Linked DNA regions of Schizosaccharomyces pombe. Changing the gene in region 3 together with the main gene of any one other region gives a genetic interaction. Each region holds a gene or a part of one and is shown on either strand. Other genes may lie near its edges. The genes, in order: igo1, med14 and pyp2.

Evidence for each region.
Region 1: of pyp2 (region 3) and igo1, changing one enhances a phenotype caused by changing the other (phenotypic enhancement), as found in Schizosaccharomyces pombe (one study listed by BioGRID).
Region 2: of pyp2 (region 3) and med14, extra expression of one rescues a mutant of the other (dosage rescue), as found in Schizosaccharomyces pombe (one study listed by BioGRID).

What each region holds. Positions count from the first base shown.
Region 1 is NC_003424.3:1,235,899-1,242,883, reverse strand, and holds igo1 (serine/threonine protein phosphatase inhibitor Igo1), read right to left. Parts: upstream 3,989-6,985; coding exon 3,905-3,988; intron 3,860-3,904; coding exon 3,776-3,859; exon of another isoform or gene 3,712-3,775; coding exon 3,460-3,711; 3' UTR 2,699-3,459; downstream 1-2,698. Other genes in the region: N-acetylglucosaminyldiphosphodolichol N-acetylglucosaminyltransferase Alg13, read left to right, coding at 101-589; SPOM_SPAC10F6.17C (bifunctional phosphoprotein phospatase/[pyruvate dehydrogenase (acetyl-transferring)]-phosphatase), read left to right, coding at 1,229-2,563; SPOM_SPAC10F6.15 (uncharacterized protein), read right to left, coding at 5,919-6,985. UniProt on the Schizosaccharomyces pombe protein: Plays an essential role in initiation of the G0 program by preventing the degradation of specific nutrient-regulated mRNAs via the 5'-3' mRNA decay pathway.
Region 2 is NC_003423.3:1,992,756-2,001,703, forward strand, and holds med14 (mediator complex subunit Med14), read right to left. Parts: upstream 6,339-8,948; 5' UTR 6,174-6,338; coding exon 3,534-6,173; 3' UTR 3,251-3,533; downstream 1-3,250. Other genes in the region: SPOM_SPBC1A4.11C (uncharacterized protein), read right to left, coding at 521-895; pus7 (pseudouridine synthase), read left to right, coding at 1,172-3,214; V-ATPase assembly factor Pkr1, read left to right, coding at 7,143-7,330, 7,411-7,621; sdh7 (ACN9 family protein), read right to left, coding at 7,557-7,604, 7,720-8,019; anaphase-promoting complex cullin family subunit Apc2, read left to right, coding at 8,380-8,948. UniProt on the Schizosaccharomyces pombe protein: Component of the Mediator complex, a coactivator involved in the regulated transcription of nearly all RNA polymerase II-dependent genes.
Region 3 is NC_003424.3:5,197,906-5,206,124, reverse strand, and holds pyp2 (protein tyrosine phosphatase Pyp2), read right to left. Parts: upstream 3,470-8,219; 5' UTR 3,303-3,469; coding exon 1,167-3,302; 3' UTR 923-1,166; downstream 1-922. Other genes in the region: protein Emc10, read left to right, coding at 1-661; Tf2-8 (retrotransposable element/transposon Tf2-type), read left to right, coding at 6,413-8,219. UniProt on the Schizosaccharomyces pombe protein: Plays a role in inhibiting the onset of mitosis. Dephosphorylates sty1/spc1 and wis1/spc2/sty2.

The DNA.
Region 1 (6,985 bases), 4.0 Mb from region 3:
TTTATTTTGCACAATCTCACTCGTAGACGTAGTAGAGTAAACCTGTCTCCAAAAACCCGCCTACATTTATCTTTTGCAGTTGACTTTATCCTTTCTTACAATGAATGCATTTGTAACAGTGGGCTCTACACAATTCGATGATCTTATCCGAGCCGTTTTGAAGCCCGAGTTTCAGCATTGTTTGGTGAAACATGGCATTAATCAACTGATTGTTCAGTACGGAAAAGGAAAACAGGCATTTGGAGACCCCAAAAGCGTTGCTGGTTTGACCATCCTGGGCTTTGACTATGCTCCAGAAATTGAATCCTACATTCATGATGCTAGTATAGTCATCTCTCATGCAGGAGCCGGAAGCATCTTACAGACTCTTCGTTCTGGAAAACGTTTGCTAGTGGTACCAAATGAATCTTTAATGGACAACCATCAAGTTGAACTGGCTACCAAATTAGCCTCGATGAATTATTTGGTTACGTGCTCAACTTCAAACTTGGTAGAAGGCTTGGAAGAGCTGTACCCAAAAATATTGACCCCTTTTCCAAAGTCTGATTGCTCAACCTTTCAAAAAGTCATGCAAGACGTCGCTAGGTAAATCGTATGCTCAGCTTTATTTCTCAATCAGGGAATCACTTTGTCGTCTTCAGCCTTTTGGTATTGTAAGTATTAAATGCTTCCATCCCACTATCTTATGTAAAATAAATTTTTAATGCATTCACAGCATCTACTTTTTTTTAATGCTCTTCGATTCTTACACGTTACAGTGAAAGCCAACTTTTCTTTACAATTAGTTTTTCTACAAACCCTCTCCATTCTCTTTCTTTAAGAAAGTTTCATAGTCAATAAATAATTTATTACATCTAGTCAAAACTACTGTTTTTGTGTAAATAAATTGAAATGCCACGTACATTAACACCATCTAAAAGCCACAGAGAACCATAACGAACAAGGGAAAGTGTTTAATCACTATATGGAATGTCGGTGCCACCCTATTCCGAGAGTGTGATAATAACATCTTTCCATACCAATTTTGTATCACGCGACGATACTCCTTCATATCGTTTTATTAGTAACCGTTTTTTGGTAAGCAAAGTGGTTGAGCATTTGCGCTACTGAGTTTCACAAAACCACATTCGGTATATTAGTGAGGAAGATTTCTGGAACTTCGCCAGCAGTATTTGTTGTGGAGTCTACGAATGAATTGGAAGCTAAGTTTAAAAAAAGGGGATTATCGATGAATTTTTTTACCTCAGCCGTTGGTTCGAAAGTGTTTAAGCGTAACAACTTTAAATATGTCGCTATAGCCGCTTCCTCCATTGGATTAGCTGCTTACCATATTCGTAAGGATGCGATTGCCTTGGACATACCTAATAGCACTTATCAGCATGTTTCTAAAAATCGGGTTCCTCCCACGGATGGGGATGGTATCACAAAACGCCTGAAAGAGTTTGAGCGAACGGTAACCGTCAACAAAGATGGCATCTTTCGCTACGACTTCAATCAGGTTGCCAGCAATGATCCTTGCGAAGACGATCATGTAGAGGTAATAGATCGAAACATCGATGAAGGGAATTGGTATTTTTGGGGTATTTTTGACGGACATTCCGGTTGGAATACTTCTCTTTTCTTACGCCAGCACCTAGTTCCAGCAGTCGTTAGGGAATTGCAAAAGTGTACTGCATCTTACTATCATCAAAATGCTTGTCCTTCATCTCTTGCGCTCGATAAGTCGATCAGTGAGGCATTTGCCAAAGTTGACCATCAAATTGTACACGAGCATGTCTCCCATGTATTCAACAATCCAGAGTCACTCCAAGTAGCCGCTAGTCTATTGTTACCCGCTCTATCAGGATCGTGCGCTCTTCTTACTTCGTATTCAGCAAAATCTAAGAGTCTTCAGGTTGCCTGTACTGGTGATTCGCGGGCTGTTCTTGGAGAATGTACGCCCGATGGCTCTTGGGAAGCTATCCCACTTAGTCGCGATCAAACTGGAATGAATCCTGATGAAGCATCTCGCTTGGAAGTTGAGCATCCAGGCGAAGAAGTCCTTCGTAATAACAGGATTCTTGGACGTCTTATGCCTTCAAGAGCCTTTGGCGACGCTCGTTACAAATGGTCCCAGGAAATTAGCGAGAGACTACACAGAGAATATTTTTCCGCTTCACCCATCCCTGTTAAAACTCCTCCATATGTTACTGCGGTCCCTGAAATTGAAAGTATCACCGTGAATCCAAAGAAGCATCGCTTTCTAATTATGGCTTCCGATGGCCTTTGGGACACTATGTCCAGTGAACAAGCAGTACAATTGGTCGGAGAATGGGCAGATACAGTTTTGGGTAAAACTACCAACGAAAAGAACACAACTCAGGATGACAAACAATCATGGTCGCTGTTTAAGAAAACATCAAAGGTCATTGATGATAATGCTGCCACGCACCTTATTCGACATTCTTTGGGTGGAAGCGACCAAAGAATATCTGCTTTATTAACCTTGACTTATCCAATTTCAAGAAGGTATCGTGACGACATAACTGTTACGGTGATCTTTTTCGACGAAAAAACTTTGTAGATACATACGATAAGGAATGCTATTTCACGCATAACTACTCTTATTCATGAGTAAAAAAAGCAAGAAAAGAAGGAATGCTTAACGACTAATTGAATAATCTGCCAAACACAAAAAAATTGGCACTACGAGAAAATATATATTAACACTTCATTTTTTTATTCCTATCACATTGACCAAGCTCAGTAAGATAAGCCACGCTAAAAAAAAAAGAAAAACAAAAGAAATACAGCAAATTTTTTTCGAAAGTAAAACCGTTGGAGACACCGTATCCACGTGGCGACGAATGGCAACAATTAAATTTTAGAATATGCTCATTTTGCTCTATAGAATGATAAAACGTTACATTGTAAATAAATGTAAAAAGAAAAATAAAGTAAGTAAAAACACTTGAAACTCACAAAAAGACGAGACGACAATAGTGCAATACGCAAGAGCGATGACGAGAACAATCATCAAACATTGGAATTAAACAATGCCATATAGCCAAAATCGTGACAAGTGTTCTGACAACAAAAAAACAAGTGAACCATATAAGAAATTACAAGATAGAACAACAGTTGATAAAGGAAAATGAAAAAAAGATTTAAAGTAAGAAACGAAGAAAAGGAATGCGCGATGCATTGAATAAAACAGAAGTGTTGTCCTCCATCAACTACGTAGAAAAGGGTAAGGAAGAGAAAAGGGAAGTATTAGAGTAGTAAGCGTTTTCATTTCGTAGACTTTTATCGTTATATATTTCTCATAACTCTTGACAGCTGAACAAACGCGTTCGTTCCATTTTGCCAGACCACAATTTTGCACACAGCATTTCCGCACACGACAAGCAATACCAAATTTTAAGAGCCAAGCCAAATTAAACCTCCAACCTTGTCGCAAAAATAGCAACGTGTATGACCTCAATTTTCATTGCTTTCCAAGTCGTGTCGCGTGACAGATTCCCTTCTGCTACTGGCACCACTAGGCGAGGACTCTGAGGGTCGTTTCGTGTGAAGAGACGGCTCTTTATTAGGAGACCCAGCACTGACAACACGGTGAGGAATTGTGTCAGGAGAGGGAATCTCCTTACCAATACAAGTGATACCTGAATCGGAGGCCTTTCCAGCTTTGTTTAAGGCATAGTCGCCTGAATCAAAGTATTTTCTACCTTGCTAAAAAGGGGTAGAGTTAGAATAAATATGACAATTTATCCAAAACACATCCATTCCTCCATACCTGTAATTTTTGAACTAATAGATCCTTTCGCTGAGGAAGTCGTCCATACAAACGGAAAAGCTTCTGTTCTTCTGGACTTAATTTCTATTTCAGTTAATAATCAATTTCAGCTGTACAATCTTAACTTACTGCAACGTCTACTTTCTGCTCTGAATTGCTAGAAGACATGGCGATTATGGTTGTTGACAACATCCATTTGCGCGTTCTTACCATATACCACACGGCCACTTGTCTACCGAAGCCTAAGATACCGCACTGTTAACGTATTAGGTATCATACGTAATTTTGTCGATACGTAAACACTCTAAAATTACTGGATTCCAACGAAATAGCGGCTGAATGAGCTAATCTACACTAAATGATCATTCATTGATTAAGTGGCATTTCTCATGAATGATGAAAAAGTAAAGTGGATAAGGTCGGTTTTATGCCAAATGTCATTTGTTTACTATTTACAAACAACTTGCTGCCTTTGCTATTGTGAGTGGAATCCTTGACGAAGACTTTGCATACTCGCTTGATTAACATGCTTTCTACCGACTCACTTGTTAACCCTACTTTCTTGCCAATAACCTATTCTTTCTAACCTTATCGGGCATTTTATCGCTGCGTCCAAAACTAATAAAAAAAAAATAAAATAATAAAATAATTATTATGAGCAAGGCCGATTTTTAACATGACGACAAGTTCCTTCCTATTGTTAGTCTAGGCAACCTATTTTTGGTGGCTGTAAAAAGTGTTGAATGTCCGACTCAACAGTCCCTTCCCAAAGTGTACAGATAGAAAGAAGAGCAGCAAGGGTAATAATGGGAGATGGGGTTTCTGCACAAATAGTTGAATTTCCATTTACCTAACTTGGAGATCAGAATAAGGACTAGAGAATGAAGTTGCTTCAAGGAGTCGGTTTATCTTGCTAATAGAAAAAGTACTTAGTTGCGAAAAGATTGCATCATGGCGATAACATCTCAAAAATCCGACATTTTCATTCTAATCGTGATACAGGTAGTAGTGATTTGAGGCAACTTTTAGTTGTGAATTGCTCATCCGTCTGAAGTGAAATTAGGAAGTCTTCTTGGCTTACGATTGTCATGTTAGCCTTAGTATTCGCAAAATTACTGTTACATGTGGAAATGACTAAATTTCTCATAGAATTACATATGCGTTCGCACTTTTAGCTAAGCGAGTGGCAGTCAATGAATGATATACATTTGGCATGTTAGCGGATGTGTCGCCTTCATGTTTGCATACTCAAATGTACAATAACGTATGTGCATACGGGAACAATAATTTGGTTATACGTGCATGATTGTTCTTATAGTTAGTTAGTTAGTTGAAGGAGAAACGTTTGGCGATGGACTTGGCTACAAAAAGTTATTGTACCGACCTGTCCAGCATTCATCATCAGTCCTTTGAGTGTACGATATTTGCGCATGGGCTTACTGATAGAGAATACTACCTACAAGTAGGTATTATATCTTTCATTAAAGACATAGTAAATATCTGTCATTTAAAACAGATATTTTGTATATCCTCTAGTACGTATTGTTACTTTACTGTAATTTGCAGTCGAAAAAATTAAGGAAATTGAACAACACAGTTCTAATGTATAAAAGTAAATATGGTGGAAAGTTTAAAGAATATTAAGGTTCGCTTAGTTTTCTGCTCAGCAGGCAACCGCAAAGCGAAAATAGGCATTGTTTTTATTCTTATACTTACAAAAGGAACGGAAACTGTAAAGAATACCGAGTAAGGTCAAGAATTTTTTGGTTTCTGTTTTTGTTTTCTTCGCTTTTACGTGATTTTAATTTAAACTTTTGTATATCATTTATAATTCAGTCATGTCATTCCCCAACCAAATACATAAGGTCAGGATGTGAGTGTAGTTCGGTAATAATGTGGGTAAAAAATCGTTTCGTTCCCGTTGTCACAAAACGATAATTCGGTCCACCGATTCACCATAGCTGGTCAACATAAATCATCTGCTTCGTTAGATTTTTTAGTAAAAGCAAACTCAATTCCTTTCGCATATAACTTTAGGCTCACCCATCAAGCTTGATGTTGGGTTCTTTTTTGTGAAAGATGTTTTCGGATTGGCGAATTCAGCCAACTCGAGATTTTCTTCGGAATTCTATCAATCCTCATCTCATTCAGCAGGTATAATCAGTTGAATCGCTATATCTTCTCCATTTTCATCTGAAGGTGTATCCAGACAATTCAATGTTAGTCTATTGGTTAAGCAGTTATCTTTTGACGAGCAAAAATTGCTTGATTTTGCTGAACCTGCTTCAGAAAAATTTGGTAAATTTGGCAATGAATGAAGACCCGTTGGATTATTGAACAATTTTTTCATGTTACACTCCATCTCGGCGTTGAATTGGCGACATTTGCAGAGATCTAGCAACAATTGGTTATAAAAGTCACATTCCTTTTTGGATGAAGGCGGATTCTTAAAGATTGCACCATCACTATTGTACAAAAGCAACGTCGACTCTGGTAGTTTACCGAGAAATATATTTTTTTTCATATTCAAATAGAGATGGATTGGGAAGGCATAACCGTTTGAGCCAATACAGTGAATCATTGCAATCCAACCGATGTCTGCTTCAGAATTAGCACACTGAAGAATTTTGTCAAATCCATCAATTTCATAAGGTAGATTATTTTCCAATAGCGGCTTACGAAGCTGTACGTATGACTGAAAATTCGACGAACTTACTACAATGCAGTTACATGTCGAGCCAAGAGCAAAGATATCCCTCGGATTTACCAAATACATGCGAATATTTCCAATTTTCTTCTGTACAGCTAACTTTTGGACAGTACTGTATGCTTCTCCTGAATTGTTTACATAATGCTCAACTGCTGCCCACAAGGCTTCCTGAAGACTTTTCGGGTAATATTGATAGAGCATGACATGATGAATCAAAACAGTTAATGGAAATTCGCCCGAACGTAGATAGTCGCACAAATATTTAAATAGAGCTTGATGATTTCGAAGTAGATGCGAAACTGCTGTCTGTATACAAGAATGATTATCGATCAAGTGATAAACCTGATCAGGAAGGCAAAACCCGCTCTCATCCATTTCATAACCAATTTTCAAATAGACACCACTAAACGTATGGAAAACATAAGATAACCAACCATCATAAAACAAATTTGGAATGTCAAAGCGATCTGGCAGCTCGAATTCTTTTAACTTGAGAATTT
Region 2 (8,948 bases), on a different chromosome or scaffold from region 3:
ATGAAAATACATCTGCTCTCTCATTCCCAGAACTTCGAACAAGAGAAGCAGAAGTCAAAAGTGGTAGTAATTTCATGGATTAAAGTAAAAAAAAAAGGATGTGTACAACCTATCGAAATATATACCTATACTCACAATGTACACATGAAAAATAAACACAGATATCGAGAATTAGCTTATAGAAGATAATCAATTTTTATGCAAGGTCAGAAAACACCGTATTATTTCTAACAAATCGAAAGCAATAATGGTTCAATACGTTTATGTACCACTGTGGAGGAGTGTCAAAAAAAAATCAAACCTGTAGGGTAATTCAGAAGAAATGGTAAACGATAGATGAACCGTTCGAATATATACAACGGGAAGAAAACAAGCATATATACAATCATAGAAAAAGATTTGTTTTACATGAAATATTCTAACTTTTTATGTTAGTTTTTCGAAGAACCAAACAACCAGAAACATATACTCAATGTAGTCACGCTTACCAAAGCGCACAAGGATACAGCAAGTAAATAATTTAAGGCGTAAGATTGTCAATTTGTGAAATTGTGAGTTGAATATTTGAGCGGATTTTCTCCAATTCTTGAAGGGGCATCAGAGCACTAGGTTCAGGATCCATTTTTTCGCAAGATTCAAAAAGGCGTTTTGATTCACGATCTAGCGCAGATATCATAGTAGGTAATCGGGGAAGGACCTCTGAAACTTGATTGATTTGTTGGTTCAAAACTCTCAGAGAGTCATTAAGTGTTTTATCAAACTCAGACAAAAGGTGCTGGGACGTTTCGTACAATATAGAAGGGTCATTGCTCTCAGGAAGAAGCTGATTTAATTTATCAATTGGGCTCTTGAATTTCGAGGGACCAAATTCCCCAATCCAATCCTTCTCGGGCATTGATATTTGGCGTCTTTCTTCAAGTAGCCCTCGTCTGTTTTCCTTTTCTTAGTTCTTTCCGAGATCCTTCGTTTCGGTATACTAAATTATATATTATGGTCGAGAGTGGTATAATTTTAATGAATGTCATACGCACCTCGTAATAATGTACTATTGAGCATTGTCGATCCACCTTATAACTAGATGCAGAAAGTGTGCTTAACATGGCTTTATGAATACTAACGCGGTAGCTAATCCCATTCAAGTGGTTTTGAAATTTGTATATTCGCTTTAGCAATGTCCCAAGAAAACCATGTGGATGTCCCTAGGAAAAGGATTCGGATTGACCAATCTGAGTCTTCAAGGAATTTGGAAAGAAATGGATTAGAAGATGAAGCCAACGCTCCTTCAGATTTGAGCGGTCAGAAGTTTTATATGACCGAGTCAGATGTAGGAATTGATGCGTTTTTGAATCCAAATCTTCCTTCAATCGATGGAATTATTAAAGCAAGATTCACGGATTTTGCTGTTTTTGAAGTTGATACAGATGGAAATATAGTTCACTTAACTGATATGGAAGCTCACGATCCTATCCTTTCGAAGGCAACCGGAGACAAGGAAACTGAAGACGCAAAAGATTCTTCTAATCAAGATATAAGTAATGACCAGAAAGCTCCTTCTTTTAAGGAACAAGAACCTGCTACACTGCCTATATTGCCGAATGACCTCCAAAGTATCATACCTAAGGGAATTGGTAATGAATTTATTCAATCTCTTCATAAGCTATCAGTTGGTGAAATAACTGATCCCATCTCATTAATTCTTCCCGAAAATACTCCTCCTATGGATAAAGGTCAGCGAACGATCTTACATCAATTCATACGAAACAACTTTTCTGGACTCGAGTCTTCTACAAAAGGGAATGGAACTTTTACAGTGTCAAAGACCACCAGAAAAAACCAGCCTAGATCACGAAGAGATCCCCGATTAAGTTGGAAGGCTTTGGGTGGTGAATATTGCCATTTCCATTTGTATAAGGAGAACAGAGATTCTATGGACTGTCTTGGTAAAATTGCCCGCCTCCTCAAAGTCCCCACTAGGACTTTATCAATTGCTGGAACCAAAGATAGAAGAGGCGTAACCTGTCAACGCGTAGCTATTCATCATGTTAGAGCATCTCGACTCGCACAATTAAACTCTGGTTCTCTTAAAAATTCCACATATGGTTTTCTTTTGGGAAATTATTCTTATAAAAATTCAAATTTAAGATTGGGAGACTTGAAGGGAAACGAATTTCACATTGTAGTGCGTAATGTTATTACGCCTAAAGAGAAGGTTGTTGAAGCATTGAATTCTTTAAAAGAGCACGGGTTTATTAACTATTTTGGTTTACAAAGATTCGGTACCAGTTCTGTCGGGACACATACCATTGGAGTTCGTCTTTTACAATCAGACTGGAAAGGCGCTGTCGACCTAATTTTATCACCAAGGCCCGAGCATACCGGTTCTGTCAAAGAAGCAATTGATTTATGGCATTCCACTCATGATGCTGAAGCTTCTCTTCGCATTCTTCCTCGAAGGATGATAGCTGAATCCAGCATTTTGGAAACATGGTCTCGATCTGGTAATCAAACTGATTATTTAGGAGCGTTCCAGAGAATTCCCCGTCACTTGAGAAGTATTTACCCTCATGCATATCAATCTTACGTTTGGAACAGAGTTGCTTCTTGGCGGATAAAGAATTTGGGCGATCGTCCTGTTGTGGGAGATTTGGTTTACTCTACTGAGTCTAATGGTTTAAGTCAAAAAAGCCCTATTGTTGACCCAGAGGCACCTGATCTTCTAGAAGATTTACCTGTGAGCTCAAAATTATCAGCTCGTCCGATTGAAGAGGACGAAGTCAATAACTTTAGTATTTACGACATAGTACTTCCTTTACCTGGTCGTAATGTAATATACCCAAAAAATGAAACTTTCGATATATACAAGTCTGTCATGAATGAGGCATCACTTGATCCATTAAATATGTCTCGCAAAGACAGAGAACTTTCATTACCTGGTGATTATCGAAAACTTTTGGTGCGTCCTGAAAATATGGAGTTTAATTTCATAAAGTATGACAATATGGAACAACAACTGATTTTGACGGATAAGGATAGATTGGAGAACCGTTCTATTTCAGTGAGTTCTGAGGTTGGTAAGCACACCGCTGTTACGTTAAAATTTGTACTTCCATCTTCTGCTTACGCTACTATGGCTTTACGAGAAGCTTTAAGAACTGCAACTGCTAGTGGTGATCAACGTATGTTGATGCCAGCGGTACTTAAAGATTCAATATAAAATTTATTAGCTTAAAAGAACACAGCTTTGAATAAACTTGGGATTATGGCGATTATAATAGAAATTCATTTTACCTACGGAAGTTTTTTGCTTATTCATAAATGATTAAGCGTTAATTCGACGATCTCTAATTTACACGTTGGATTATATAAATCACATGTATCATCAATGTAACATTCACTTGTATACTTTAGAAAACGATTTTCATTTACCTCATTAACCAGACATTTTTTGCCGTATTTATATATACAATCACTAATCACTGCCACCGAAAGGAATGGACGGTGGAGGGGGTGAGGATTAAAAGCTTAATATGAGTTCATTTTTTTCGAGAGATCGCTAAAATTCTTTTTAGAATGGCTGTTAAATCAGCCGTTTTGTTCATCTTTATTAAGTGCATCTCGGGAGCGGCCTCAATCTGACCATTAAGCTCATCATCACCCAAGTCACCTTCCCAAACAGTATTAAGCCATGAACAAGGTTCCCATTGAGACGTCAAAGTCTGAGTTCCTTCCAAGTATCGGGAATCGGCAGATAAGTAGGATAAATCTTGGAGTATACATCCATGGCGATTTAAAAGAACTTGAATGCCATGATTTTTGGATAGGATAATTCTGTACTGACGCAGAGATCGAGCCAAAACAACGTAGCCCAATTCTTGAGCTACTAAAACACCTCTCGTTCTATCCATAATTACGCGTAATGGTTGAATAGCTGAGGGCCCATCAGAAAATGTATCCTGCAAAAACTGAGAAATTAGATGAAACGGACTATGTCGATTAAAAAAATGAAGGGTAAAAGTGTTGTCGTCATGAATTGTAGCCCTAAATTTCTCATCATCGAGATATGTAAAGTCCACATGCTTTAACGTGATACAATCTACATTGAATGCAGATGTTTTAGACAAAGCAACAAGTTTAAGTAATCCAATCCATGTTTTTTCGAAAGATGAAAAATTTTGCACACGAATGGTAATACGACCGGTTCTCCAATCTATGTAGCAGTTCTTTTCAGTTTCAGTCTCAGACTGATACGGCAATTTTCCTTTTATTCGGGAGTCAAAAATTAACTGCCCGTCATGCGCGCGAACGAAAACCACAGGAAGCATATCTTCATTAGACGATGGCATCATAATACATAAGCATCCTGTTTGGACGTATGTAGTAAAGTCATCTTCAATTAGGGCTTTTGGTGGAATAGGCAAATATTCAAAAGGCATACCACGAGCTTGGCAAGCAGTTTGAACATTGAATAAAAGTATTTGGACTTCCAATAGGTACGAAAGACGGCTAAAACTTTCAATACTTAAAGTACCTTTTGTAGTATGAACATCTTGGGTGTAGAGAGTTTGACCCGCAGCGTTCAACAATCTAACAGACCAAGAGTTGGATTCAACGTTGTACGCGAGTACCCATAGGGAATCGCCATCTTTTCTCCATTTACCTTTGGAGAATGTAAGATAAGGGAAAGAATAGTAACCTTGAACTGCATGCAACTCAGCACACTGGGCAACTTCTAATAGCTGCGTTTGTATACAAAAGAAATACAACCGATTCAAGATTTGGGCGGGAGGTTGCGTATTCAAAGCAATATTTTTTTCAGCAGCACGAAGATGCCTGGGAGGTGATAAAGGTGAAGCCGAACTCGACAGCACGAGCCTGCCGGTAACGCTGTTCACCTTGACAATTATTTCATTATCAAAGACATGAATTTTTAGACCACCACCAACATGTTCACTAAATATATTTGGGTGAAGCTCCTTACGGATTTGTTCCAGAATAAGTTGAGCGTGTTTTTGGGTAATTAATAATAGTAGATGCTGAGCATCCATATGATCATCTAATGGTACATGTTCAACAATGCCATCATGGTGCCATTCAACGAGTAATAAAAAATGATCATATTCACAACTGGATCTCTTAGAGCTAAGGGTACGCTCAAAGGCGGATATGGGTTGAGTATTTACAAATATATGAATATAATGACCAATTTTTCCGGGTTTTCCTTCTTTTTTCACATTTAATTGGGGCCAATAGTATAGACGTAGCCGTGGGGGCTTTTCATCATAGACACCGCGCAAATGCCCTAACCAACTTTCTCTGGATAGTTGAAAAGTTTGTTGTGACAATAAATTAAGGCGCTGATATAAACAAAATTTATGAAGGATATTATATATTAAAGGTAGGATGGGCTTTTGTAGAACGAATGCAGCAGCGATTTCTTCATTGAGATGCAATTCTATAAAAACCCGATATTTTGCGGGAGTAGAAGAAAAATCAGGAAGATGAAATTGAAAGTCAACAACAATCCACTGGAATGAAATACCGGTAGATTTAGGATCTTGGGAATTGGTTGTCAAAGACACTGAAAACTCATTGGGAACAGTAAATGTGCAACGACCATTAGCAATTGTGAAATGTTGAAATGGTGTCGGAATAATTTCATAAAGACTAAGACGAATTCTAATAAGCATGTTAAGAGCATGAAGGGTTTGAAGTATTTGTTTGGTACTTAGCGGTGATTCAGATAGCATGTATAATTTTGAAGTGGGAGCATTTGCTAGACGAAGACTCGTGCCAGTTGACAAAATATCTAATGCAGTAACTAAATCTGAGTTGCGTAGACGTGCAAATGACAACTGGTAACGAATATCTTGTAACACATGAACTAAATTCTGGAAGCAAAATTTTTGACCTTGAAGAAAGGCTACAACATCTATGCATCGATGAACTGAAGGAGATAGATGTACCCAACGCGCTAAAACTAGCAAACGCATAGTGAAAGCGCGCGAACGTAATAACCAATCTAAGATCTTTTTCTTTTTCTCGACATTTGACATAGAGGGTAGAACTTCGGCTAAAGACACCAATTCTTGTAACACATGATGACTAAAAGTTTCTACTATCTCAGGAAGAGGATAAAATCCTTCTGTAATGTGTGGAATCGCAGGCGGTTCCATCCTCAATTGGAGGAGTTAGGAATTTCGTGTAATAGCGCCTTTAATTAGCCGATCCTTTACCAAAACTAAATTTCGTAATAAACATAAGTTTTGTTCTTTTAAAAACCCTTAAAAAGGATTCTTTATATCTCTTTTACAGAAATCTTCGAGTAGCGTGCCAAAAGCAACTTCACACAGCTCCCGTGAAACTCTTCGATAACCTTCGTTACGCCATTCACTGAGATTGTTAAAACGCCTTAGGTTTATTCATTCAAAAAATTGGAATAATCAATAAATAAGCAATTTTAAATGGAATTAAATAATAATTGATCAATGATATTACTAAAATGGGAGATTTTGAATAAATTTGAGCTAGTATAAACATGCCCTGTTATGCGATAATCGCATAAAACATAGTTTGAAACTATGGATAATGAAGAATAACAAATGAGATGGAACCGTTCAAAAAGATTCTCGTAATTCTATAGTAGTTAAAAAGCCCCTTCTTTAAACTGAACGAAAATCATCATTAAAGCTGTTCAAACTTTGCTATCAATTTTAATCAGAGCTTCAGCGTGTCTCATTAAAATGATAATAAAACAGTAATTTAGAAGAGCTAAGCCGAAAAATAACATTTGTTTTGATCATTTAATTATTTTCTCCACGACCACAAGAAGCTGACAAAAAATTTTTAATATAGCAAAACAAAAGTAGAGCACTATTCCATTTGAATGATTCAAAGCTCTATTAACAATAAATTTGGACAAATGGAAGCATAACCTTCGGTTTTAATAGTAGTATAAGATATGGATTTCTTGAAATCCATTTTAACTTTTAATGAACTCCAACATCGGTCTCGTTGCTAAATTAATTCAATAGCACACGCACACTATAAAGGCCAGATTTTATCGCTAGAACACAAACGGTGGTTTAACAACGTCAATTCATAGCTACTACATTTCCAAGTAGTATTCCAATAAGAAAAAGATCATGTCGTATTGGGTGGAACTATGGGAATCAATTTTCACACCAGGTGTCACACCTGTATTGGCTAAGTCAGCACACGTAGCCTGTGGTGCACTTGTCGCTGTTTTTCTTGGACTTTATATAGGTACAAAAAGTATTCATTGTCTCATCTTATTTTTCCTGGCAATCTGTTTGTGGCTGTCGCTAACATGGTACGTTTATCCATGAGGAAGTTGAACATCTCGTTCACTTTTTTACGAGTAGTCCAGATCATTCATTAACAACTTTATAGGTTTTTGGTTGAGCTTGCACATGCTCGAGTTAATAACGATTTGCAGATGTCGTCTCAAAGTGCCAATAAAAATGACGACAACTCAAACAATCAAAATCCTTCTAATAACAAAGAGATGTCTGATAAAGAATCAGATTCCGCGACCACTACTCAGACTTTTTCTGTTCCTGAAGAGCTTTTGAGAGCTCGTACAACTGCCAATAATAGTTAGAAACTATAGGTCCAAAAAAAGAAGCAATAAGTTCAAGAGCACTGGTAAAAGTTCTCTTCTTTTAATAATAAACCTCAATCTAATATAAGTTTTCTTACCTGTCCGATTTGCTGGTCATTTAAAGATTCTAGTAGATCCGTATTACTGTATTTTTCCTGTTTCCAGCTCTCGTTTTCTAGTGCATCCGCATACCTCTCCCACGAGCTTAAAAATCCTACTAAATGCAAAGGATTTGTTACGTTCCGATGTCTTCGAAATTCCGCCTTTACATATTCATCTCCTAAAGCTCGTTCTTCTGCTCCTAGGTGATAGCGATGCGCTCTCAACACCCTTCGGTACAGAGGCAAAGGAGGTGTCAAAATATTCTTTTGTTTCATTAATTTCGTTATGTTATTCATTGGTATATGATTTTCTTTAGATACCGTCTTTTCAAAAATTGAATTCCTTTTAAGTTTCTTGTTGTGGTTGTGATGTGGAAGGCAGTTTGCTATTCATCGCATTCACACTAACAATTGCAAGGTCTTCTTCTACCAAATGTAAACAATACCACCAGAAGATATACTAGTAGGAAAAGTGAGTGTTCCTTCAATCATTTGTCTTGAAATCTTCAATTTTTAATTCCTTTTTCTTTTGAAAACATTACTTTGTGTTATCGGACTACGTAGAAAGGACTTGTCGATTTGGTATCGATTATTTGTAGTTGCTTGAATTCATTTATTTTAAGATTAAAGTATTTATCAGAAAAAATTAAAAGCATAATGAATGATACTGATCTGTCCACCTTTACTGGCCGTTCGTTGTTGATCGATCAATTGAGCTCAGTCACACAGGGAACACCAGTATTGGATTTTATTGACAAGTTGAGAATTCATTTCTATACCACTATTCGCCAAAATCTCTTAAAGATTGATTTAAAAAACATATGCAGTCTACACGACTTAACGGACCAACTAAGTGACTTTTGGCTTGTTTACGAACAGAGTGTCTTAGAAAGTCCTATTTTAAGTCCTGAACTCGACCGAATCCTTACATGCTTCCGTTGCCTTTGTAGAAGGTACTTGCCCATTTCGGTGATTGAAAGCGTTCTAACAGAATATCTGGATCAAGTTTTAAAAGTATGGTTAGAGAGTAAAACGAATCCTTGTTTGGATATGGAGAAATTTTTTCAATTGTGTGAAAAATTTAAGCAGCTGGGGCTGTCTTCTGTGTTAAAAGAAAGGTTTGTATATGTATTGCAGTTGCATGTCGGCTCTCTTTTAACAACACGGTATGCGATGTCTTGGGAGCAGAGTGTTTACCATGAAGCATTGGAGTGGATTCGCACCGA
Region 3 (8,219 bases):
AGGCTTGATTTTTATCAGTTTAGCCTTTGTTGCTCATGCATTAGAAATTCCTATTTCTTGCGCTGTATCACATAATGAGCAAACAGAAATATTTCCACATGGTACTATTGATATCCCAGAAATGACATTTCGTCCTTCGGACTCACAAATTGATTGGAGTAATCTTTCTCACTCTGATTTTGTACAATGTGGAGTATACGAAGATTCTACCAACACATGGCTTGCAGGCGCCAGCAAATACAAAATTGATGAAATAAAAACCCTTCCAAAAGTACCTAGAGACCACTATATCATACTTTGTGATTCATCAGAAAGCAATGAGATTGCAAAATTTACTCAAGTGGTCCACTCATTTGATTTTTCATCCGACTCAGAAAGTGCTGTAGTCGAGCAATTGCATCCTTCTTCTCCAATTCCAATTTTAACTACTGCTGTCAGAAAAAAGGGATCACGTCCATCTAAACCCCAGAAGGAAAAACAAGGAAATAAACAGGGTTCTAAAACCGAAGAATCTCCAAATGTGGACGAAGATGAATTAGAGTCCGAACCTGAGGAAAAGACATTTTTCCAAAAATATGGTTTATATCTCATCCCGATATTGTTTCTGATAATTATGTCTGGTAACAATGCAAATCAACAGGCAGCAAATACGGCGAAATAAACGAGTCATTATATATATGCCTTAAAACAATTGCGTCTCGGCTACGATAATTTTTTGATTATTGCTACTACTTACTGTGCTCTTTACAAATATTCTAATTCATCTATTTCCATTCAATAATACTGCTATGTGCCAGATGTACGATACTTAATAGTACTTTAAAATCTATACAAACATTTGTAATGAAATATCGTATAGGAAAGGTTAAAATAAAAAAGAAGGAAGTTTCTACGTGCACATAACTAATTTAGTCTTTAACAATTATTCCATTCCAACATAAACAAGATTCATTAATAACTAGATATAAACATTCATTACACGCATGAGATAAAATCAATTTTTAACAACAATAAGGAAGGAATTACACATGATTACCGGAGAGTGTGGTTAAGTATTTTTAACATAACCTTCGCGTCAGATAATGTAAAAAATGAGGAATTACACAATCTCACATAAATAGAACATAGTGTGTACAAACACAGAAAATTAAAGAACAGTCGTTTCGTTAAGTCATCAAGGGCTTGGAAGCCTGGTTAACGCCGCTATTTAAATAATCCACGACGTCGTAGAGAAATTTGAATTGCTCAAAGTTTTGAACCATTTTCATCCGTTGTGATCTCAACGAGTTAACACAATTGAATATGAAATCTTTTGAATCTTCCAAATTGGTCGTCTTGGGTAAAATGTTTTTTGGTACCTGAAGTATTTGGTCTACAGCAATAAAAGTACCAGTGCGTCCTACGCCTGCTGAACAGTGAACGAACATTGGTCCATCATTGGGAACCTTATCAATACAACGTATGATTCCCGTGATGCTTTCAATATCTGGATGGGTTTTGTCAAACCACGTGTGCACCCAAAAGTGATGTATATACTTTGGAGGACCATTAGGTTTATCCAATCGAAACAAATGAGTGTTGACCTTCAAATCTTCAAAGGTTTCATATTTTTGAACAGATATGCGTAATCCGCCTTCCAAGCATAATGCGTGATCTTTGTTATCTGGCCAATATTGAGAACATTTCTCACTTCCCGCCTCATACAGATTTGTGAGCATTACGATAACACCATTTGTTCCTGAGTTATGCCAAACCATTTCCCAAAAGTCTAAAAGAGTTCCCGGCTTAGGGGCCTGGCAGGCAATATATTTTTTATTTCCAACGTCTATATGTGAAGCATTAATATAATCAGAACATCCTTTTGGAACGGCTAGACGGACTCTTGTTTTATCGTAGGGCACGATATCTGTGTAACGATTTTTTCTTGAAATGGAAGTGGAGCGGCTGGAAGCTAAACAGCACCAATCAGATTTACTGTCATTAAACGCTAGGGATCTAGTCATTTCCATTTCCTCAAGTCTTTTAAACTTATAAAAAATAGAAGCAGTATTTAAATCCGCAAGCACCTCACAAGGAGGAGGAGAAACCTTTTTGGCACCCCAGGGATTACAAGTAAAGGGTCCTTTGTTTTCCTTGGAGAAAATGCTTCCCTTGGTCTCTTTATTAAAGCACGGTTTGTTAGCTCTTCTTAGACCGCCTGGTTTTGGAGCATCTCGTGTGTTTGATAAACCAACAGATGGTTTAAGTTTGCTTGTCATCGTACTAGTACCATCATTCTGTGCATTGCTATCACGTTTCATTGACTTCCGTGGAATAATTTCCAAGGAAGCTTGAGACAAACTTGGATTGACGACGTTGCTGGATTTAACATAGTTGCTAAAGCTACGAACGCGAGAAGCAGAAGGCCGTCTCTGATTATTCGAGGAGGGATAAGAAGGCACCGATCGTAGAGATGGCCTGGCAGGAGTTTGCTGAGGGGCATTGCCTACGATAAAAAAGTTTTTCTGTTCATCAGGCGTACTAGGACAAGAAGATGCGCAAGAAATGGCGGGAGAGATTGGAAAATATGGCATTTCAGCTTGAAAAGCTGAATTTGGGGGAGAGAGGGGTGAACCATATATAGATTGGCACGAACGAACAGAAGAAGCAGTAGGAGAGTGAATCGAAAACGGTGTTAAACCTGAAAATCCAGGGTATTCCGCATGACTCGCGAACTCACTAAAGGTATCGGAGACTACCGAAGGTGTGCATAAAGGTGGTGGGATGTTAATAGGAACTCTCAATGGAAAGCTATAATCTGGTGAAATAGGGGTAGAAACCGCAGATGGATCGGATAAATGAAGGATATCCAGCTTGCAATTCTCATTGATGTCAATTTTGTATGGGACCGACTCCTTGACCATTTCGGTAGAGACAATGGCGTCCGGATGAGAGGAAGCAAAGGCTTCAAATCCATTGCTTAATAAATAAATTTTTTTGGAATATCCACCACGTCGAAACTTCTGTACCAAATCATAAATACGGTTCATGCCAGCCATGCTAGAGTCGTATAGGAATATGGCATTAATTTCATCCAACGAGACTTTTACGTTGCATTTTATACAGGCGAAAACCTTTCCAATGTCAAAAGACGGACGACGTAACAACGCAGTTGGAAGAGAAACGTTGATGGCATTTTTTATATGGCTAACAGCATATTTGGAGTGCAGGCGCAAATCAATAATCCAAGAAACGCTCTCGGTTTGTTCTTCAAAAGACTTAAGAGTAGAGTTAAATTCGTCTTTAGACAGAAGATGGAGCATAGTAGCACAAAATTTTTGAAAACACCTTGGAAGATGTTATATCCTAAGTAAAAGGGACAGAGACAAGATTGGCCAAGCTAAAATATATATACAGGAAACTTTTAAAATGGCACACAAATTAAAACGAAAAAAAAGATAGCAGGCGAGTGTGAAGAGGTGTGCGGGTTAAGAGAAATTTTTTGAGTTATTTACAGTGTGCTTTCGGAAAAAAAGAATATAAACAAAATGGAAACGTAAGAGAGAAGAAACTGTATAAAAATAACAATTATTGACTTTTTGCGAGTTCAATCAAGGAGTCAAAAATATAAGACAAAGAAACTCCTGGGCGACGTGAACAAGGATGAATGAGGAAACTTGTTGATTGAAAGAGACGAAATCAAACAAGCAAATAAATAAATTTTTAATAAACAGAAAATAAACAAAATTAAAAGTTTTGTATTCTTGGATGATGGTGGTTAATTTTTTTGTGATGAAAAGGAAAAACTGCAACTCGATTTTCCCTTTGTATTGCCTATTGATGTTGAACAGAGAAAAGCTCCTTTTTGTCAAATAAATAGAAGTCCGCGAAGTGGCGCTGGGATATAAAATGCAAAAAAGATAGATGAGTGAATATATATGAATAAATAAATAAACAACTAGTAAATGAGTCAAATAGGTGAAATCTTCACGTAATATACACAAGATGGGTAAAGTTGAAGTAACTTTAACACGTAACAAAAATTTTCTTCTACGAAGAATAGGGCTTCCATGCGATCCCTAAATCTCGTACACTTAAAATTGGTACAACTTGGTTTTTCCTACATTTCACCACCAGGCCCTCATATATATATATATATATTTTACATGTAAGAAGGATGTAGATCGATTTACGTCTGATCCTCGGTTTTGGCACCAGGCACTGGGCAGTGAGACCAGGTAACATACAATGTAATATTATGTAGTCATGACGTGTCAAGATCGTAGACGAGGAAAAATTTTAGGCAACAAAAACAACGGCTAAAAGGAGATTGAAATGAGCTAAACCAAGGAATTTTTTGAAGCTGAAAAATGAGTTCTTTTAGTTTATAAAGTTGATGATGATTTTTTTCTTTAATTCCTCGAAAACAAAGTTCGGGTACTAATGTACCTAATTTCACGGTCACGTCATTCTCTGCTACCTAAAGGGGTTTCCCCATACTTTTCTGCTAAGCGACCGTTTATTCTAAGATATAACGAGAGGTAAGATGGCAATACGGTGTACTATTTAACGAAATATTGCATAATGTGACGAGTGACGCTTAGAGCACAGTAAGACCGGATCTAGTGAAGCCGAATGCATGGAAGAAGCCCTCTCTTGGGCCACAGCAAAATAAAGGGCCGCAGCGAACCAAGGCTAACTCGTAATTAACACTAGTTGTACTGTGTAGCACTATGCAGGATTAAAGAGACTTTGCAAAGCCGGGAGATTGTCTTAATGTGGACTATACGTACGTTACTAGAAAATTGAGTCGCTATGGCATGCGCTATTGTGAAAAGTGGAGAGGGGGGCAGGGAAGTGAATGACTCGGTGGTACTTTACGTACTCTCATGTACTGCGTGTTTCTAATCGTCAGGTGAATCCAAATAATCCCCTTGTTTTGTTCACATCAATAATATGTCTTAATTATCTTCTTCTGCCTGCTTCCCCAGATTCTCTTCTGTACCCCATCTTTTAACATTTTCTCATGCCAATTTGAACAAGATAGACATGTGAAGAGCGAAAAAAATTTATTTACACATTCGGTAATCAAAAGTGGGGACTTGTTATCCTTTGAAGAATCCTTACAGAATGTGGATTTTCTTTTGTTTTGCCACTACGCAAAAGAAACATTTTCTTTCTTCTTTTTTTGGCAAGCGAGAAAAGGGTTGATCGGGACTGACATTGGTAAACACTGCAATACATTACATGTCGGGAACCTTTTTTTTTTGTCTTGGCTTTCTCTAATCTTTGTTTGCAAAACGGTCAACAACTAACACCGTGTTGCCAGATGACATTTTCTATAGTTCACTACTTCATGGGTGAAGAAGTGCTCTTTTTCAACGGTGCTCTGTAGAGGCTTTTATTTGGTAGCTGCAGCAAGCTTCCCATGCTCTCTTGGTAACAAAATAATTACAGATGAAATGAACCAAAGAAAAAATTCGAAATATGTCAGCAATCCTAAGCTAAGTTAAGGTGCACTGCGTTAAAAATCATTATGCGTCATGTGATGGAAACTACTTAAAGATTTATTAATTGATAATTATGAAAGAAGTAGCATTCGAGAAAATTTAGGATTCTTCTGATATTTAAATTCTACATTAAAAATCGTAAGTAGAGTTCATCTAAACTTAGGAACGAGGTTCATACATAAGCAATTTCAATGATAAGTCACAATATCATTTATATATACAAGAATATCAATAGCAGTGTTACTCAGATTACCTCTATACCACAATATAGCAGGTTTCAAGTAAAACTTACTGTAATTGAACGTATCTTCAGAATAGTGAATTACTTAATCGTAAATAATGTAACAGTGAGTAATCGAAACAAAATAAAATAATACGCTATAACGATTGAATGTCTATATCACTTATTGTCAGCAATACTACACTACGCTATAATACACTACGTTGAGTATCACTATATGTCACATGTTCTAATTATATATCGTACCATGTATGATACGATATGGAGATTGATCTTAATGATAATCTATTAAGATCAATATTATCTGAATACTATAAATAGAGCTACTGCTGAACCTCGTTCCTCAGTTCAGTTATGAGCTATATTAGTGATAGGTAACATTATAACCCAGTTAATACAATACCTATACTCAGTTGCTACTTATACAACCTGTGTATTGTAATATAATAGATCACAAGGAAAACTCACCGCAGTTCTACGTATCCTTAAATCAGATACCAAACTGCGTAGCTTACAATAACTGAACTCTTGTGATCTACAATTAACTCCTTTTAGGAAAAAGGAATTATTGAATAAATATATATCATAAATATATATATTTCTCTCCTTCTGGGTTCAAAGGAGAAGGAACTTTGGAAGGACTGTTATCCCTTTTGAAATCTCCCAAAGGGAAACATATACAATGTCCTACGCAAATTATCGTTATATGAAAGCAAGAGCAAAACGATGGAGACCAGAGAATTTGGATGGAATTCAAACATCAGACGAACATTTAATAAACCTTTTTGCAAAAATATTATCGAAGCATGTACCAGAGATAGGGAAATTCGATCCAAATAAGGATGTTGAAAGTTACATTTCAAAACTTGATCAACACTTTACTGAATACCCTTCATTATTCCCAAATGAGCATACTAAAAGACAGTATACATTGAATCACCTAGAAGAATTAGAGCAACAATTCGCTGAACGCATGTTTTCTGAGAATGGAAGTCTTACATGGCAAGAATTACTCAGACAAACAGGGAAAGTACAAGGATCCAACAAAGGTGATCGTTTAACTAAAACATTTGAAGGTTTTAGAAATCAATTGGACAAAGTTCAATTTATAAGGAAACTCATGTCAAAAGCAAATGTTGATGATTTCCATACTCGCTTGTTTATATTATGGATGCTGCCATATTCCTTAAGGAAATTAAAGGAAAGAAATTACTGGAAATCAGAAATCAGTGAAATTTATGACTTTTTAGAGGACAAAAGAACAGCCTCGTATGGTAAAACTCACAAGCGTTTTCAACCGCAAAATAAAAATCTAGGAAAAGAGTCCCTTTCAAAGAAAAATAACACCACTAATAGCAGAAACCTGAGGAAGACAAATGTTTCGAGAATAGAATACTCATCTAACAAATTCCTAAATCATACTAGGAAACGTTACGAAATGGTATTACAAGCTGAACTTCCAGACTTCAAGTGCTCAATACCCTGTCTAATCGATACGGGCGCTCAAGCAAATATTATAACAGAAGAAACTGTTCGAGCACATAAACTGCCTACCAGACCCTGGTCAAAAAGTGTGATATATGGTGGAGTTTATCCAAATAAGATTAATCGCAAAACAATAAAACTTAACATAAGTCTAAATGGAATATCAATCAAAACAGAATTCTTGGTTGTAAAGAAATTTTCGCATCCAGCTGCTATCTCCTTCACAACATTATATGACAATAACATTGAAATATCTAGCAGTAAACACACGCTCTCTCAAATGAACAAAGTTTCAAATATTGTCAAGGAACCTGAGTTACCAGATATCTATAAAGAATTCAAAGACATTACTGCAGAAACCAATACGGAAAAGCTACCAAAGCCAATAAAAGGGTTAGAATTTGAAGTTGAACTAACTCAAGAAAACTACAGATTACCTATCAGAAATTACCCGCTACCACCGGGAAAAATGCAAGCTATGAATGATGAAATTAATCAAGGATTAAAAAGTGGAATTATACGAGAATCTAAAGCCATTAACGCCTGTCCAGTAATGTTCGTTCCGAAAAAGGAAGGCACCTTGAGAATGGTGGTTGACTACAAACCTTTAAATAAGTATGTCAAACCCAATATATATCCGTTACCACTTATTGAACAATTACTTGCTAAAATACAAGGTTCTACAATTTTTACTAAACTTGACCTCAAAAGTGCCTATCACTTGATACGAGTAAGAAAAGGAGATGAACATAAACTTGCTTTTCGCTGTCCTCGTGGAGTTTTTGAATATCTAGTAATGCCTTATGGCATATCTATAGCTCCAGCACATTTTCAATACTTTATCAATACAATACTTGGTGAAGTCAAAGAATCGCATGTAGTATGTTATATGGATAATATTTTAATTCATTCAAAATCGGAATCTGAACATGTAAAACATGTTAAAGACGTTCTACAGAAATTAAAAAATGCGAACTTAATTATCAATCAAGCAAAATGTGAAT